2 linked regions of the Stegostoma tigrinum genome follow. The protein of the gene in region 1 interacts with the protein of each later gene in a pairwise test. Links are inferred from orthologs where the notes say so. Each region holds a gene or a part of one and is shown in the gene's direction. Other genes may lie near its edges. The genes, in order: rassf1 and lats2.

Evidence for each region.
Region 2: the proteins of rassf1 (region 1) and lats2 come close enough for resonance energy transfer, tested with the Homo sapiens proteins (2 studies listed by BioGRID). The link is inferred for Stegostoma tigrinum from reciprocal best matches to the Homo sapiens genes RASSF1 and LATS2.

What each region holds. Positions count from the first base shown.
Region 1 is NC_081364.1:59,255,164-59,262,887, forward strand, and holds the start of rassf1 (ras association domain-containing protein 1), read left to right. Parts: upstream 1-4,539; 5' UTR 4,540-4,873; coding exon 4,874-5,207; intron 5,208-7,724. UniProt on the Homo sapiens protein: Potential tumor suppressor. Required for death receptor-dependent apoptosis. Mediates activation of STK3/MST2 and STK4/MST1 during Fas-induced apoptosis by preventing their dephosphorylation.
Region 2 is NC_081359.1:73,335,235-73,343,088, reverse strand, and holds the start of lats2 (serine/threonine-protein kinase LATS2), read left to right. Parts: upstream 1-4,785; 5' UTR 4,786-4,930; coding exon of another isoform or gene 4,931-4,939; intron 4,940-7,854. UniProt on the Homo sapiens protein: Negative regulator of YAP1 in the Hippo signaling pathway that plays a pivotal role in organ size control and tumor suppression by restricting proliferation and promoting apoptosis.

The sequences.
Region 1 (7,724 bases):
ACAGTAAGGCACATAGGTTACATTGCACAGAATGTGTGCGAGGCAAGATCACCAGTACCAAGATAGGAAAAAATTGAAGTTAGAGATGCCATTCATCAGTCAAATAACAGCAAGGAAGAAGCTATTCTTGAATCTGCTGGTGCATGTGTTCAAGAATTCATATTTTCTACCTGATGGAAGAGGATGTAGGAGAGCATTACCTGGATGGGAAGGGTCTTTGATGATGTTGGCAGCCTTTCTGCACCTACAAAACATGTAAATAGAGTCCATGGTTGGAAGGTTGACTTCTGTGATGGTCTGGGCTGCGCACACCACTTTCTGTAGTTTCTTACGGTTCTAGGCAGAGCAGTTGCCACACCAGGCCGTTATGCACCCGGACAGTACACTTTCAATGGCGCAGATATAGAGGTTAGTGAGGGTCCTCATGGACAAGCCAAATTTTCTCAGCTGCCTGAGGAAGAAGAGGCGTTGTTGTGCCTTCTTGACCATTGCATCACATGGGAAGTGCAGGACAGATTGTTGGTTATTGTCACTCCGAGGAACCTGACGTTCTGGACCCTCTCAATCTCCACACCATTGACGTAAATGGGGGCATGCTACCCTCCTTTCTTTCTGAAGTCGATGATCAATTATTTAGTTTTGCGGACACTGAGAGAGAGAGAGAGAGAGAGAGAGAGAGATGTTGTAACCATTGCACCATGTCACCAAACCCTCTATCTCTTTTCTGTATTCTGACTTATCATCGTTTGATATCTATCTTAACACAATGGTATCATTAGCAAACTTGTAGATGGTGTTCATTCGGAATTTGGCAAAAAGTCATGGGTGTATAGGGAATACAGTAGGGGGCTGAGGATGCATCCTCAGGGGCGTTGGGGGGGGGGGTGTTGCTCCAGTGTTAAGTGTTATTGTGGAGGAAGTGCAGTTGTCTATATTCACTGATTGCGGTCTGTGGGTCAGAAAGCTGAGGATCCAATTGCAGAGCGCAGAGCTTGAGGGGAGTCTTGAGGGGATAATGGTGTTGAAGGCAGAGCTGTAGGGGTCTGACATAGCTGTCCTTGTTGTCTACATGTTCCAGGGATGAGTGCAGGGCTAGGGAAATGGCACCTGCTCTGGACCTGTTATGTCAATAGGCAAATTGCAGGGAATCGAGGTGAGCTGGGAGACTCAAGTTAATGTGGGCTTTGACCAGCTTGTCGAAGCACTTCATGATTATTGAGGTCAGAACCCCACTGGGCGGTAGTCTTTAAGGCACGTTGCATGTGCTTTCTTAGGTACAGGGCTGATGGTGGTCTTCTTGAAAGTAGGAGCTTTGGCTTGAAGGAGGGAGAGGCTGAAACTGGAGGTGAAATCATCCACCAGCTGGTCCGGACATGACCTAAATGCACGGCCAGGGACTCCATCAGGGCCTATCGCTTTCCTTGAGTTGACTATTGGGAAGACTGATCTGAGGTCTGCAGTGCTGACAGAGCGAACAGGTGTGTCCGGGGCTGGTGACACCATGCTGCTGGTATTCTGCTTGAACACAGCATAGAAAGCTTTGAGTGTATCAGGGAGGGATGTGCCTTTGTCAGCTATCTTGTAAGTAGCTAACCATAATGGGCATGTCATAATCAGATTATGAAGTCTCCTCATGCTTAACCCTTGCAATTGAGTTGGTTGGGAAAGCGGAGGGGGCACTTGTATGTAGCCTCTTCAAACCTAACACTGCTGCCTCACAACACCCAGGGACTTGGGTTCAATTCCAGCTTTAGGTGACTGTCTGAGTGGAATTTGTATGTTCTTCCCAATTCTGCATGGGTTTCTGCCAGTTGCTCTAGTTTCCTCCCACAGTCCAAAGCTGTGCATTGTAGGTAGTCTGGCCATGCTAAATTGCCCACAGTGTCCAGGGATGTGCAGGTTTACGTGGGTTAGCCATGGAAATTAGGCAGTTACAGGGATAGGGTGGGGGACTGAGTCTGGGTGGGATGTTCTTCAGAGGATCAGTGCAGGTTTGATGGGCTGAGTGGCCTCCTTCCACACTGTTGGGATTCTATCATTTTAATGTCATGTGGTGGATTGATTTACATTGGCAAGTTTGTGGCTACTTCATAAATTAGATCGTCATTCATGAGGGGATACATAACTAGTTTGTAGAGTTGAAGTTGGGTGTGGACTAGTTAATTGATTAATGGATCAAATTTAATATAGAAGCCAACTGGTGCATCTATTTACTATCTTGTTTGATGGGCTTGCTATTACATTGCTATGATATAATAGTGGAAAATGAAATGTATAGCATTCAAATATAACATTTTTCTTTGGCTAAAGTATTTTTCAAGACCCACTTGCTGATGTAACAAATGCACTCATGTCTTTTTTGAGCTGCTGGAATATTCAATGACCTTCTGTTCTGAGGCAACATAAAAGTATCATTTTTTTGGAGTTCCATCTGCCCTGTGCAACTCTATAGCATGCAAATAGGTGGTGCACCCTGAAATCCATTCAGCCCGTGGCCTATCAGCAAAGACAAAGTGCAAGAGTGAGTAACTGTAAACTTTCCTGCATCATTCTCACTCCACTTCGTTGTGTATTTTATATCTCTCTGGTCTACACCAAGACGACACACCAGCTTCAATATTTAATAGGTTTTATTGACAGTGTTTCAAAATGGCTGCTCTGTGCTTCAGCTCTGGCTCCCAACTCTTTCCACAGCTTTTCTCAGAGTCTACATCCAAGCTTACCGATTGAGTACAAAGATCAGCTATTGTAAACCGATTAACATAAAGAAACGCAGGACAATTGAACACTAAAGTGAATCCTGACAACAAGCTAGAAAGATGCAAGTATCCCTACCTCAGCCATTTTTGGAATCCTTAGCTGTCATATATGGAGTCGCAGGTAGACAGGGTAGTGAAGAAGCCATGTGGCATGCTTGCCTTCATTGGCCAGAACGTTGATGTTGGAGTTGGGATTTCATGTTGCAGTTAAACAGAACATTTGTGAAGCCACTTTTAGAATACTGTGTACAATTTTGGTTGCTCTCCTATAAGAAGAATGTTGTTAAATTTGAAAGTGTGCAGAAAGGTTTACGAGGATATGACCGTTTTTTCTGTAGAAGGGTCTAGGCCTGAAACATCAGCTCCTCTGATGCTGCTTGGCCTGGTTCATGCAGCTGTACGCCTTTTTATCTCACATTTAAGAGGCATCCAGGTTGGTATATGAATATGAGGAGTTTACAGGGAGTATGGGCTGGCATATATGCTGGCAAATGGGACTAGATCAGATTGGGCGTCTGGTTGGCGTGAATGAGTTGGGGTGAAAAGTCTGTTTCTGTGCTGTGTGACTATGATTCTATATCGATCCAGCAATTAATTTTCAGCTTTTACGGTTCCCATGTCTTTAAACGGTGAGATATCACCCCCAGGAGACGCCAGACAGTGATGGGCTGATTGCTTTTCAGTCCTAAGCGTACCGTTGGGAGTGATGGTCACTCTGAGACGGCACTCAATGAGATGAAATAGTGATGGACACCACACTTGGGACAAGGTGAGTGGGCCTGGAGATCATGCAGATAGGCCATATTGAGAGGGGGGTCTAGTGAATTGGTGAGAATTGCAAAATCCAGTCCCCAAAATCAAGCCTTATAAATGTACAGGTGATGAAAATGAGGCAGATCACCGTTATCCCTATCTTAAAAAGTCGTTGAATCCTGGGCAACTTAGCTCCACCGATAATGTGGTGATGACTTGCAATAACGTCCAAAGGTAAAAGTATTTTTCCTCACTACAGGAAACTGTGTATACCCACTATCCCCATTCTCATCACTTTATATAGCCTAGATTCCAAATTGCTGCCTGTGAGTTTAGGAGCCCAAAATCTTGACTCCTGAACCCAGTGGGAGTGGCAACTCCTTGTTTGGGAAGTCCTGCCGTGGACTAAATCACAATAAAACATAGTGATCCCAACACCAGTCTTTTCATCTCTGGTTTCTTAAAACCCGCCAGTGATGCACTTTTTTTCTGATGAAGGGTCTAGACCCAAAACGTCAGCTTCTGTGCTCCTGAGATGCTGCTTGGCCTGCTGTGTTCATCCAGCTCCACACTTTGGTTATGAGTGATGCACTTCAATATAGGTAAGCAACTGCTCCGAAACGTTATTACACATTCTAGAGGTTGAACCTGCGTGGTCCAGCTCGGGGACAGAGGAAGGATAACACTTATAAAAGGAGAGTGAGTTTACGTTTAATCTGATAACGCTAGCCAGCACACCCACTTAACTGTTGCTCGCCCACTGCCCCTAAAACTGAGGATGGTTCTGAACACGCACAGAGTGTTCCATCAAACCCCAGCGGCCAGCCACGGGGAAAGAGAAAAAAAAATCCTTTTCCAGCGAACAGCTGTGATCTGAATATTCTCACAAAAAAACATAAACAGCAGCCCCTCCCACTACGTTCTTCATCCACTCGATTCAGTCACAGTTTAACTTTAGAGGGTTACAATCAATCTCCTCCCCCACTCCACACGCACACAAACACACAGCTCGCTTCACGTTTAAAACTAACGGGTTGCTGTATTTCGTTGGCTGATGGGCGGATCCTGACACTGAGCTGAAGCTGTGCTCGGAGTTAGGGGTTGAGTTAGACATTTATTAGCCGCAGGGGAGGAGCCGATCCTGGGGTGGAATTTTAACCCGGACCAGGACTAATCAACTTGTCTCAGCCCCTCCTGGCTTCAGTTGCGGTTCTTTTGCTCGGGAGACCCGAACGAATATAAACATGTTGACTGAAATGTTTTCTTATCGAAGGCGTTTTGGATCATTTAATTCTAATGCCTGTCGCTGAGTTTGAGACTGAGTTTCCCCGTGCAGTATAAACTTTTCTCTTCGCCTCCCCATGGCGGAGCTGATCGAGCTGCGGGACCTGAGAGAGGACACGCTGAGTCCCGGCAGCACCCGCTCGGTGTACCGCTCGTCCGGTTTGGAGAGGACCAACGCCATGAGGATCAGCCCCAGGAGCCGGGCTTCCAGCGTCCAGGACATGGGTAAGGCGGCCAGACAAGAGCGCAAGAGCCGGCAGCGGCTGCTGGTGGTGGACCAGGAGCCGAGACTGACCGAGAGACTGGGGGAAGGACACGATTTCAACCCTTGCACCCAGACACAGCCCAGCTGGTGTGACCTGTGCGGCGACTTCATCTGGGGTCTGTACAAACAAAGTCTGCAGTGCGCAAGTAAGTTTCTCACACACGCAATTATCTTGTTTTACAAACATGCATTTAAAAAAAACACGAATTGATCTGAAATAAGTAAGAAACAGAAAACGTATGTGTCACAGTGACACTGGTAAGGGACAAAAACAGAAGTTGCTGGAAAAGCTGAGCAGGTCTGGCAGCATCTGTGGAGAGAAATCAGACTTGACGTTTCAAGTCAAGGGACCCTTCCGCGGTTTTTATCATTACTAAGAAGGCGACTTATAACGCTGGGGTGTGACTATCACTTAGGGGAATACAGCTTGGAAATCAATTTTAAAACTGCGGAAAAGATTTCCAGTGCATGTTAAATGGGTTGTATGCATTTTCTTACTTTTATGTCATGATTTAGTGTATTGTCCATCATACTAAACATATTCTATTTAACTCAATGTATACATTATACTATCAAACTCAGTATTTTCTCCATACTACTAACCTCTTTGCTGTATGCTGTCATATTTACAGAATATAAATACACGCTATCACACGATGTGCTATTGTATACTGTACAGGATTCTGTGTTTGGTATCAGGCTATATATGGTAATAGATTCCCTTCAAGGCTTCCTCAATCTTCCAAGTATTCAGATTAACGAAAGGAACTAGCTTTACAAGATCAAGCCAGAAAAGAGTGTGTTTGAAATGCACTACAAATGCATTGTAAACCTTCCAGTTAGACTGTCAACACTGAATAGGTGGAAAAGGTGCCGAAATTGATGAAAACGACATGAAAGAGGCCATTGTCATCATAACTAAGTACTTTGGAACTTATTTAAGTTGTTGCTAAACTCTTGATGTAATTATGCAAGAACACAATAGAAAAACCTCCCTGCATTGCAAGCGTCGCTTTGTGTCATCCCAGAGTGATGCCCATTGTCACACAGTGACACATCTTCACTGCGGGCCCTGTTGGCAATGAAGCTGGCCGATTATCAGAATGTGAAATCTCCCCAAGCCTGGCTTGCTGTGTTTTATATTTGTGTTCAGCTTTGGTTCAAGAGCATGCTGTGATTCAGAATTTTTTTTACCAGTGGGCAGTAAGCAGTGACCATCTTTGCCTGCAAGCTATGCTCACCGGGGGTTTTAAAGCAAATGGTCAGAAAATTGTAGACAACCTCTGACAGTGTTGAAGCTGGTGGCCAGGACTGTCCACTGGAAAGTACTTGTCAAAGGAAGAAAGGATATGTAGTTATATGGTGTCTTTCGCAAACTCCGGATATCCCAAAAGACTGCAGCCAGTGATGTATTTTTGTACTGTCATCTCTGTTGTAATGTTTTCAGCAGATTTTGGCGTATGACTATGTTTCTTGGCTTAATATTAGATATATCCTTTTTAGTTAGATAGAGTTGTAAGTAATTAAAATCTTCTGAAATGTGAATGTTCAGTTTCTTTCTGTAACTGAGTGCAAAGCAGCTACATCTACCTGCATGGTTGGGAATATTAACCAGCTCCCAGTCAGCAGCTGATAGCGTGCCAGAGGACATCAATGGTGTGAAAAACTGACGTCTCCTCCTGACAAGTAGGAGATACTTTTATGACCAAGAAGTGGATTTGAGGTACAGATTAACCATGATATAATTGATATAGAACACTGAAGGGATTGAATGGCCTGATATAATTCTTAGGTTTAACCTACTGGTGTGAGACCACACTGGGAACTTTCAGCACATAGAAAGTTCATCCCAGTGAGAATTGTCACCTTTCATGGTTGATTTTTGACCAATTCATGTACAAACTTGTGCTGGGTCAATTCTCCCTGCCTCGCTGAGTCTGCAGGCTATGTAGTTTGCACCAGCAGTGTTCCTGTATCATTGACTATATCTCTACTGATGTTAGACAGCTCCTGCACTGCTGAACTCTTCCACACCATGTGGAATCCTAGACGTTCTTCTTCACCTGAGGCAGTCCCTCAGGATAAGCATGATTTCACTTCCACTCTGCTTTGACGGTTTAGAAGATAGCTGAGAAGTCCAGTACACATCACAGTAGAGTAGCCCAGCAGGAGTGTGCTGGGTCCATAACCCAGAGGTTGATGGAACAAAACCATCCTCTGCTATTTACATTAACAAAGTGGTGCTTGTTCTGTAAGTTGTAGCATCTAGTTTAGGGCGGGACGGTGACTCAGTGGTTAGCACTGCTGCCTCACAGCGCCAGGGACCCGGGATTGATTCCAACCTCGGACAACTATCTGTGTGGAGTTTGCACGTTCTCCCTGTGTCTGCGTGGGTTTCCTCTGGGTGCTCCGGTTTTCTCCCACAATCCTAAGATGTGCAGAGTAGGTGGTTTGGCTATTCTAAATTGCCTGTAGTACCCAGGGGTATTTAGGTTAGGTGGATTAGACAAGGGAAATGTAGGAGTAGGGGAATGGGTCAGGGTGGGATGCTCTTTGGAAGGGCGGTGTGGGCTTGTTGGGCTGAATGGCCTGTTTTCGCACTGTAGGGTTTCTATGATTTCTATGACAAGCTGCAGTCTCACCCACGTGTGGGACAGATGGTC
Region 2 (7,854 bases), on another chromosome or scaffold:
GCAGAGGAGGAGAAACAGAGGATGAGAAACAAAAGATGATAAACAGCAGGGCAGAAAGACACAATGAGAAACAGAGGCTGAGAATGAGAGGTTGGGAAGCAGAGTTTGGGAAACACCAAAGGAACAGAGCAAGAGAAACACAGGAAGAAAAACAGAGGGGCAGAAGTAGTGGGTCAGAAAGAGAGGGTCACAAACAGAGGACGAGAGACAGAGGAGGACAAACAGATGATGAAAACCCAGGATGACAAACAGGATGAGAAGCAGAAAGGCAGAAACAGGTGGGCAGCAACAGAGATGCAGAAACCATGGAAGAGAAGCAGAGAAAGAGAATCAGAGGTGCAGAAACAGAGGAAGAGAAATAGTGGGTCAGAAACAGAGGGAGAATAGCAGAGGATGAAAAATACGATGAGAAAGAGGAGGAGAAACACAGTTTGAGAAGCAGAGGATGAGAAACACTGGCAGAAACAGAGGGAGAGAAAAAGAGGATGACGAACACAGGATGAGAAACGCAGGATGATAAACAGACGGTCAGAAAGAGATGTGCAGAAACAAAGGACGGGAATTAGAGTGGCAGAAGCAGAGGGTGGGAAATGGGGCGGAAACAGAGAATCAGAAACAAATTTGCAGAAACAGAGGAGGGAAGACAGAGCAAGAGAAACTGAGTGGCAGAAACAGAGGATGAGAAACAAGAAATGAGAATCAGAGGGTGAGACGCAGAGAATGAGAAAGAGAGGAAGAGAAACAGGGACTGAAAAGGGCAGAAACTGAGAATGAGAAACCCAGAATGAGAGCAACAGAGCAGAAATAGAAGGACAGAAACAAAAGTCAGAAGCAAAGAATGGGAAAAAGAGAATGAGAAATAGAGGGGCAGAAAGAGAGAATGAGAGACAATCGATGAGATTGAGAGGTGCCGAAGCAGGGCTTTTCATCAAAGGATGAGAAACAGAACGTGAGAATCAGAGGGTGAAAAAGAGAGAATGAGAACCAGGAGTAGAGACAAATGGGGTGAAACAGAAAGGCAGAAACTGAGGATGAGAAACAGAGAATGGAAACAACAGGCCCGAAACAGAAGCACAGAAACAGAGAATGAGAAACAAAGAATGAGAAAAAGAGGGACAGAAAGAGAGAGAGAAATAGACAATGAGAATCAGAGGAGAAGAGACAAAGCTGTTGGAACAGTGAGAAATAAACTGAGGATGAGAATTAGAGAATGAGAAACAGGGGATTAGGAACAGAGGGACAGAAACAGAGGATGAGAAAGAGTTTGGGAAACAGATGATTAAAACCCAAGGAGGAGAAACAGAGGATTAGAAGCAGAGAGGCAGAAACAGAGGGGCAGAAACAGAGGGGCAAAAACAGAGCATGAGAAACAGAGGAAGAGAACCAGAGAAAGAGAATCAGAGGATGAGAAACAGTGGATAAAAAACAGGTGGGCAAAAACAGAGGGACAGTAACAGAGGATGAGAAGCAGAGGACAAGATGCAGAGAGGCAGAAACAGTGCATGAGAAACAGAGGTTGAGAAACAGAAGAGGAGAAACAGGTGGGCAAATGTAGCCAGCCAGAAGGAGGGGACAGAAACAGAGGAAGAGAAACAGAGGATGAGAATGAGAGGTTGGGAAGCAGAGTTTGGCAAACAATGATGAGGAACAGAGCAAGAGAAACAGAGGAAGAAAAACAGAGGGGCAGAAATGAAAGGGCATAAGTAGTGGGGCAGAAAGAGAGGGTCGCAGAGGATGAGAGACAGAGGGATACAAACAGATGATTAAATCCCGGTGCAGAATCAGAGAAAGAGAAACAGAAGCAGAGGATGGGAAACAACGGAATACAAACACATGAGTGAAAACAGAAGATGAGTAACACAGGGGCAGGAACAGAGGGACAGAAACAAAGGATGCGAAACAGAGGAAGAGAAACAGTGGGCCAGACACAGAGGATGAGAAACAAGGTTGGGAAACAGAGGACGAGAAACACTGTTTGAGAAGCAGAGGATGAGAAACACTTGAGCAGAAACAGAGGGTGAAAAAAGAGGATGAGAAACACTGGATGACAAACAGACACACAGAAATAGACGTGCAGAAACAAAAGATGGCAATAAGAGTGGCAGAAACGGAGGATGAGAAACAGAGGATGAGAAACAGAGTGGAAAAACATAAAATAAGAAACACGAGGAGAAACAGAGGATGAGAAACAGATCATGAGAAACAGATGGGCTGGAACAAAGGATGAGAAACAGACTGGCAGAAACAGAGAATGCAAAACAGAGGACGAGAAACAGAGCGCCAGAAACAGAGAGTGGGAAAACAGAAAACAAGAAACACATGAGGAGAAACAGAGGATGAGAAACAGATGGGGTGAAACAGAGTATGAGAAACAGAGTGGCAGAATTAGGGAATGAGAAACAGCAGCAGAAACAAAGGCGGTAAAACAGACGATGAGACACAAAAGATGGGAAACAGAGTGACAGAAACAGAGGCCGAGAAATAGAAGATGAGAAACAGAGGATGAGAAACGCTGTGGCATAAACAGCAATATAAACATTGGTGAGAAACAGAGTGGCAGAGACAGAGGATGAGAAACATGATAAAGTATTGGGGAAGCAATAATTAGAAGTTTTGCTGAAATAACGATTTACCATAAATTTTGGAATGTGTGCCTGTGTTTGTAACAACCTGAAGGTTGCAGCTGTTCTCCCACGGCTGGGGCTGCTTCCTCTATTCAATGTAACAGTGTTAACTGCACTACTTATCTGCTTATGACGCATGTGAACAGTATGGGATGTGATAACATTTAGTCATGTCGGATAGTGAAATATGTATGTTAATCACACACGTGAGGGCTATAAATTGTACTACTTTTATGCTATGCATAGAGGTCTGACGAGAGTCCACCAGTGAGAGCTTGACTGTTACTCTGGTATTGACTCCGGAGCTCTCGCTGGCTAAGCTAAAATAAAGAAGTTAATGGAACTCTTGCGGGGTCTGGAAGTTTTTGAGTCAACAAACAGAGGATCAGAAACAGAGGATGAGAAACGGAGTGGCAGAAACATAAAATGAGAAACTCATGAAGAGACACAGTGGATGAGAAACAGAGTGGCAGAAACAGAGGCCAAGAAATAGAAGATGAGAAACAAAGCATGATAATAGTGGTGATGGAAACAGATGACGAGAAAAAAAGAGAATGAAACGGATGCAGAGAAACAAAGTATGAGAAACACAATCGCAGAAACAGAGGATGAGAAACAGAAGATCAGAAACAGTGGTAGAAACAGAGCATGAGAAACTGAGTGGCAGAAACAGAAGATGAGAGAGAAAGCATGAAAACACAATGGCAGAACGAAAGGATGAGAAACAGAGGCAGAAACAAGGAGTAAGTAACACAGCAGCAGAAACAGAGAATGAGAAACATGAGGCGAAACAGAGGATGAAAAACAGTGACAGAAACAGAGGGTGAGAAGCAGAGGATCAGAAACAGAGTGGCAGAAACAGAGGATGATACCATAGAAGATGAGAAATACAGTGGCAGAAACAGAGGACGAGAAACTATCTAGATAGCTAGGATAATAAAATGTGAGGCTGGATGAACACAGCAGGCCCAGCAGCATCTCAGGAGCACAAAAGCTGACGTTTCAGGCCTAGACCCTTCATCAGAATTAGAGATAGCTACTTCTTTTTGGATATTATTTTGCTAGCCATTAGGGCTGGGAACACATCTGCCTTTAGCCCCATTACTTTGTCTAATCCTACTTCACTAGCAATGGTACTTAGTTCTTCTCCCACGCTTTTTGGTATTAGTGGGATGTTCAAAGTATCTTCCACTGTAATCTCTTATGTATTCTCTTATCTTGATTAGGCAGCTCAAATGCACGCTGCTTTTGACTGAATTCCATTTGCCATTTTCCTGTCAATTTGACCACTGCAGTGATGTTATCATGCTGTTTACAACCACCTTGTATCATCTGTATCTTTAGTAAGGATTTTTATTACATATTGTTTGCCAGATTAGTTAAGAAGTTAAGAACCCATTGGATCCAGGGCAATTTGAAAAATTAGCTTAGGTCGGGCAGTATCAGGGGAGCGGGAAAGCTGACGTTTCGGGTGAATTCTTCAGAAATTTCTGAAAAATTCTATTCTGAAAAAAATCCTACTTCTACTGTGTCTGCAATGGGTTTCCTCGCACAGCCCAAAAATGTGCAGATTGGGTGGATGCGTTGACCACAGTAAATGCGGGGTTACAGCGATAGGGTGCGGGCTTGGAGGGTCAGCGCAGTCTCGATTGGGCCAAACGGCCTTTTCCGCACTGTGTGGATGGTATGACTTTGATCATCAAACCAGCTACGGAAAGGCTGGTGGAACTTGATTCAATGGTGACTTTCAAAAGGAAATTGCAAAAAATGCTTTTAAAACTTCAGGGAAACGCACGGCATGTTAAAAAGAGCAGGAAAGTGAAATTACATACATCTTTGCAAGAACCAGCACTAGCCGAATAGTCATAATAAACTCTTTTTGTTCCGAGAAATAGTGTTCAGTTTGCTTTTGAATGCTATTACGTTGAACACCACAAGTTCTAGTTAGATTTCGTTGACATTTAGATGTGGGTTCAAGGGCACCACAGGCCTAAAGTTCAGCTCGGTATTGAGTAATCGGATACCAAATTCCACGACCAAACCTCCGCCCCGCCTCCTCGTCGAATGCCAGCGCAGCGACGCACGCGGGCGCGCGCGGCCACGTGACTGAGATGGAATGAAAACAATGCGACGCGTAACTGTCAATCAGGAAGTTCGGAAGCTCCGCCCACATACTGTGGCGTTGGGATGGGTGAGGAGAAAATAGATTTCCATCACAGTTGAGAACTCTCGTACAGGCTTCTCTCAAACGAACGGACAAACACAAAAGAATAAAATTAAACCCTTGGGAAAACCAACTCAACTAAATGGCGAAAGTAAGGAAAAGCATAAGATTGACTATTTTAGTTTTGGAATTGCATTATCGTATTTAACTTGTGTCTAGCTTATGTATAACATTTAAAGGCCCAGATTTTACATCAACTTCTGTTACTGTAGAAAATTAGATTCTGTGAGACTTAATTTCCTTAAATATCATTATGATAACAAGGTGTAGAGCTGAATGAACACAGCAGGCCAAGCAGCATCAGAGGAGCAGGAAAGCTGACGTTTTGGGCCTCGACCCCTCTCACCCCATTACCGTGTGATGCTTGCTGATAATTTATAAGACTGACCGTGTTTATGGCATGCCTTTTCTGTGACATTTGTTGGTATTAGTCATTTTGTGAGACGGGTTTTTAACGTCCACGATGCTGACCGATTGAAATATATTTTCAGAGATAATAGGAACTGCAGATGCTGGAAAATCCAAGATTACAAAGTGTGGAGCTGGATGAACACAGCAGGCCAAGCAGCATTTTAGGAGCACAAAAGCTGATGTTTCGGGCCGAGACACTTCATCAGAGAGGGGGATGGGGAGAGGGTTCTGGAATAAATGGGGAAAGAGGGGGAGGCGGACCGAAGATGGAGAGAAAAGAAGATAGGTGGAGAGGAGAATATAGGTAGGGAGGGGATAGGTCAGTCCAGGGAAGACGGACAGGTTAAGGAGGTGGGATGGGGTTAGTAGGTAGGAAATGGAGTTGCGGCTTGAGATGGGAGGAAGGGATGGGTGAGAGGAAGAACAGATTAGGGAGGCAGAGACAGGCTGGGCTGGTTTTGGGATGCAGTTGGGGGAGGGGATGAGCTGGGCTGGTTGTGTGATGCAGCGGGGGGAGGAGACAAACTGGGCTGGTTTTGGGATGCGGTGGGGGAAGGGGAGGTTTTGAAGCTGGTGAAGTCCACATTGATACCATTGGGCTGCAGGGTTCCCAAGTGGAATATGAGTTGCTGTTCCTGCAAACTTTGGGTGGCATCCTTGTGGCACTGCGGGGGGAAAGTTGCAGTCCCTCCCACCCACAGCCTCCAACCTCATTGTTCCCCAAACCTGCACGGCCCGTTTCTATCTCCTTCCCAAAATCCACAAACCTGCCTGCCCTGGTCGACCCATTGTCTCAGCCTGTTGCTGCCTCACCGAACTCATCTCCACCTATCTGGACTCCATTTTCTCCCCTTCGGTCCAGGAATTCCCTACCTACGTCTGTGACACCACCCATGCCCTCCACCTCCTCCAGGACTTCCAATTCCCTGGCCCCCAACACCTCTCTTTCACCATGGAAGTCCAGTCCCTATACACCTGTATTCCTCATGCAGATGGCCTCAAGGCCCTCCGCTTCTTCCTGTCACGCAGGCCCGATCAGTCCCCCTCGCCGAACTAGTCCTCACCCTCAACAACTTCTCTTTCGATTCCTCCCACTTCCTACAGACCAAGGGGGTGGCCATGGGCCCCAGCTATGCGAGCCTCTTTGTAGGTTACGTGGAACAGTCTCTCTTCCGCACCTACACAGGCCCCAAACCCCACCTCTTCCTCCGGTACATTGATGACTGTATCGGCGCCGCCTCTTGCTCCCCAGAGGAACTCGAACAGTTCATCCACTTCACCAACACCTTCCACCCCAACCTCAAGTTCACCTGGGCCATCTTCAACACATCCCTCAACTTCCTGGACCTCTCAGTCTCCATCTCAGGCAACCAGCTAGTAACTGATGTCCATTTCAAGCCCACCAACTCCCACAGCTACCTAGAATACATCTCCTCCCACCCACCCTCCTGCAAAAATTCCATCCCCTATTCCCAGTTCCTCCGCGTCCGCCGCATCTGCTCGCAGGATGAGGCATTCCACTCCCGCACATCCCAGATGTCCAAGTTCTTCAAGGACTGCAACTTGCCCCCCGCAGTGGTCGAGAACGCCCTTGACTGCGTCTCCCGCATTTCCCACAATACATCCCTCACACCCCGTCCCTGCCACAACCGCCCTAAGAGGATCCCCCTCGTTCTCACACACCACCCCACCAACCTCCGGATACGACGCATCATCCTCCGACACTTCCGCCATCTACAAGCCGACCCCACCACCCAACACATTTTTCCATCCCCACCCTCGTCTGCCTTCCGGAGAGACCGCTCTCTCCGTGACTCCCTTGTTCGCTCCACTCTGCCCCTCCAACCCCACCACACCCGGCATTTCCCCTGCAACTGCAGGAATTGCTACACTTGCCCCACACCTCCTCCCTCACCCCCATCCCAGGCCCCAAGATGACTTTCCACATTAAGCAGAGGTTCACCTGCACATCTGCCAATGTGGTATACTGTATCCATTGTACTCGGTGTGGCTGCCCCAACATTGGGGAAACCAAGCAGAGGCTTGGGGACCGCTTTGCAGAACACCTCTGCTCGGTTCGCAATAAACAACTGCACCTCCCAGTCACGAACCATTTTAATTCCCCCTCCCATTCTTCAGATGACATGTCCATCATGGGCCTCCTGCAGTGCCACCAGGATGCCACCCAAAGGTTGCAGGAACAGCAACTCATATTCCACTTGGGAACTCTGCAGCCCAATGGTATCAATGTGGACTTCACCAGCTTCAAAATCTCCCGTTTCCCCCACCACATCCCAAAACCAGCCCAGTTTGTCCCCTCCCCCCACTGCACCACACAACCAGACCAGCTCATCCCCTCCCCCAACTGCATCCCAAAATCAGTCCAGCCTGTCTCTGCCTCCCTAACCTGTTCTTCCTCTCACCCATCCCTTCCTCCCACCTCAAGCCGCACCTCCATTTCCTACCTAGTACCTCATCCAACCTCCTTCACCTGTCCGTCTTGCCTGGACTGACCTATCCCCTCCCCACCTATCTTCTTTTCTCTCCATCTTCGGTCCACCTCCCCTTCTCTCCCTATTTATTCCAGAACCCTCT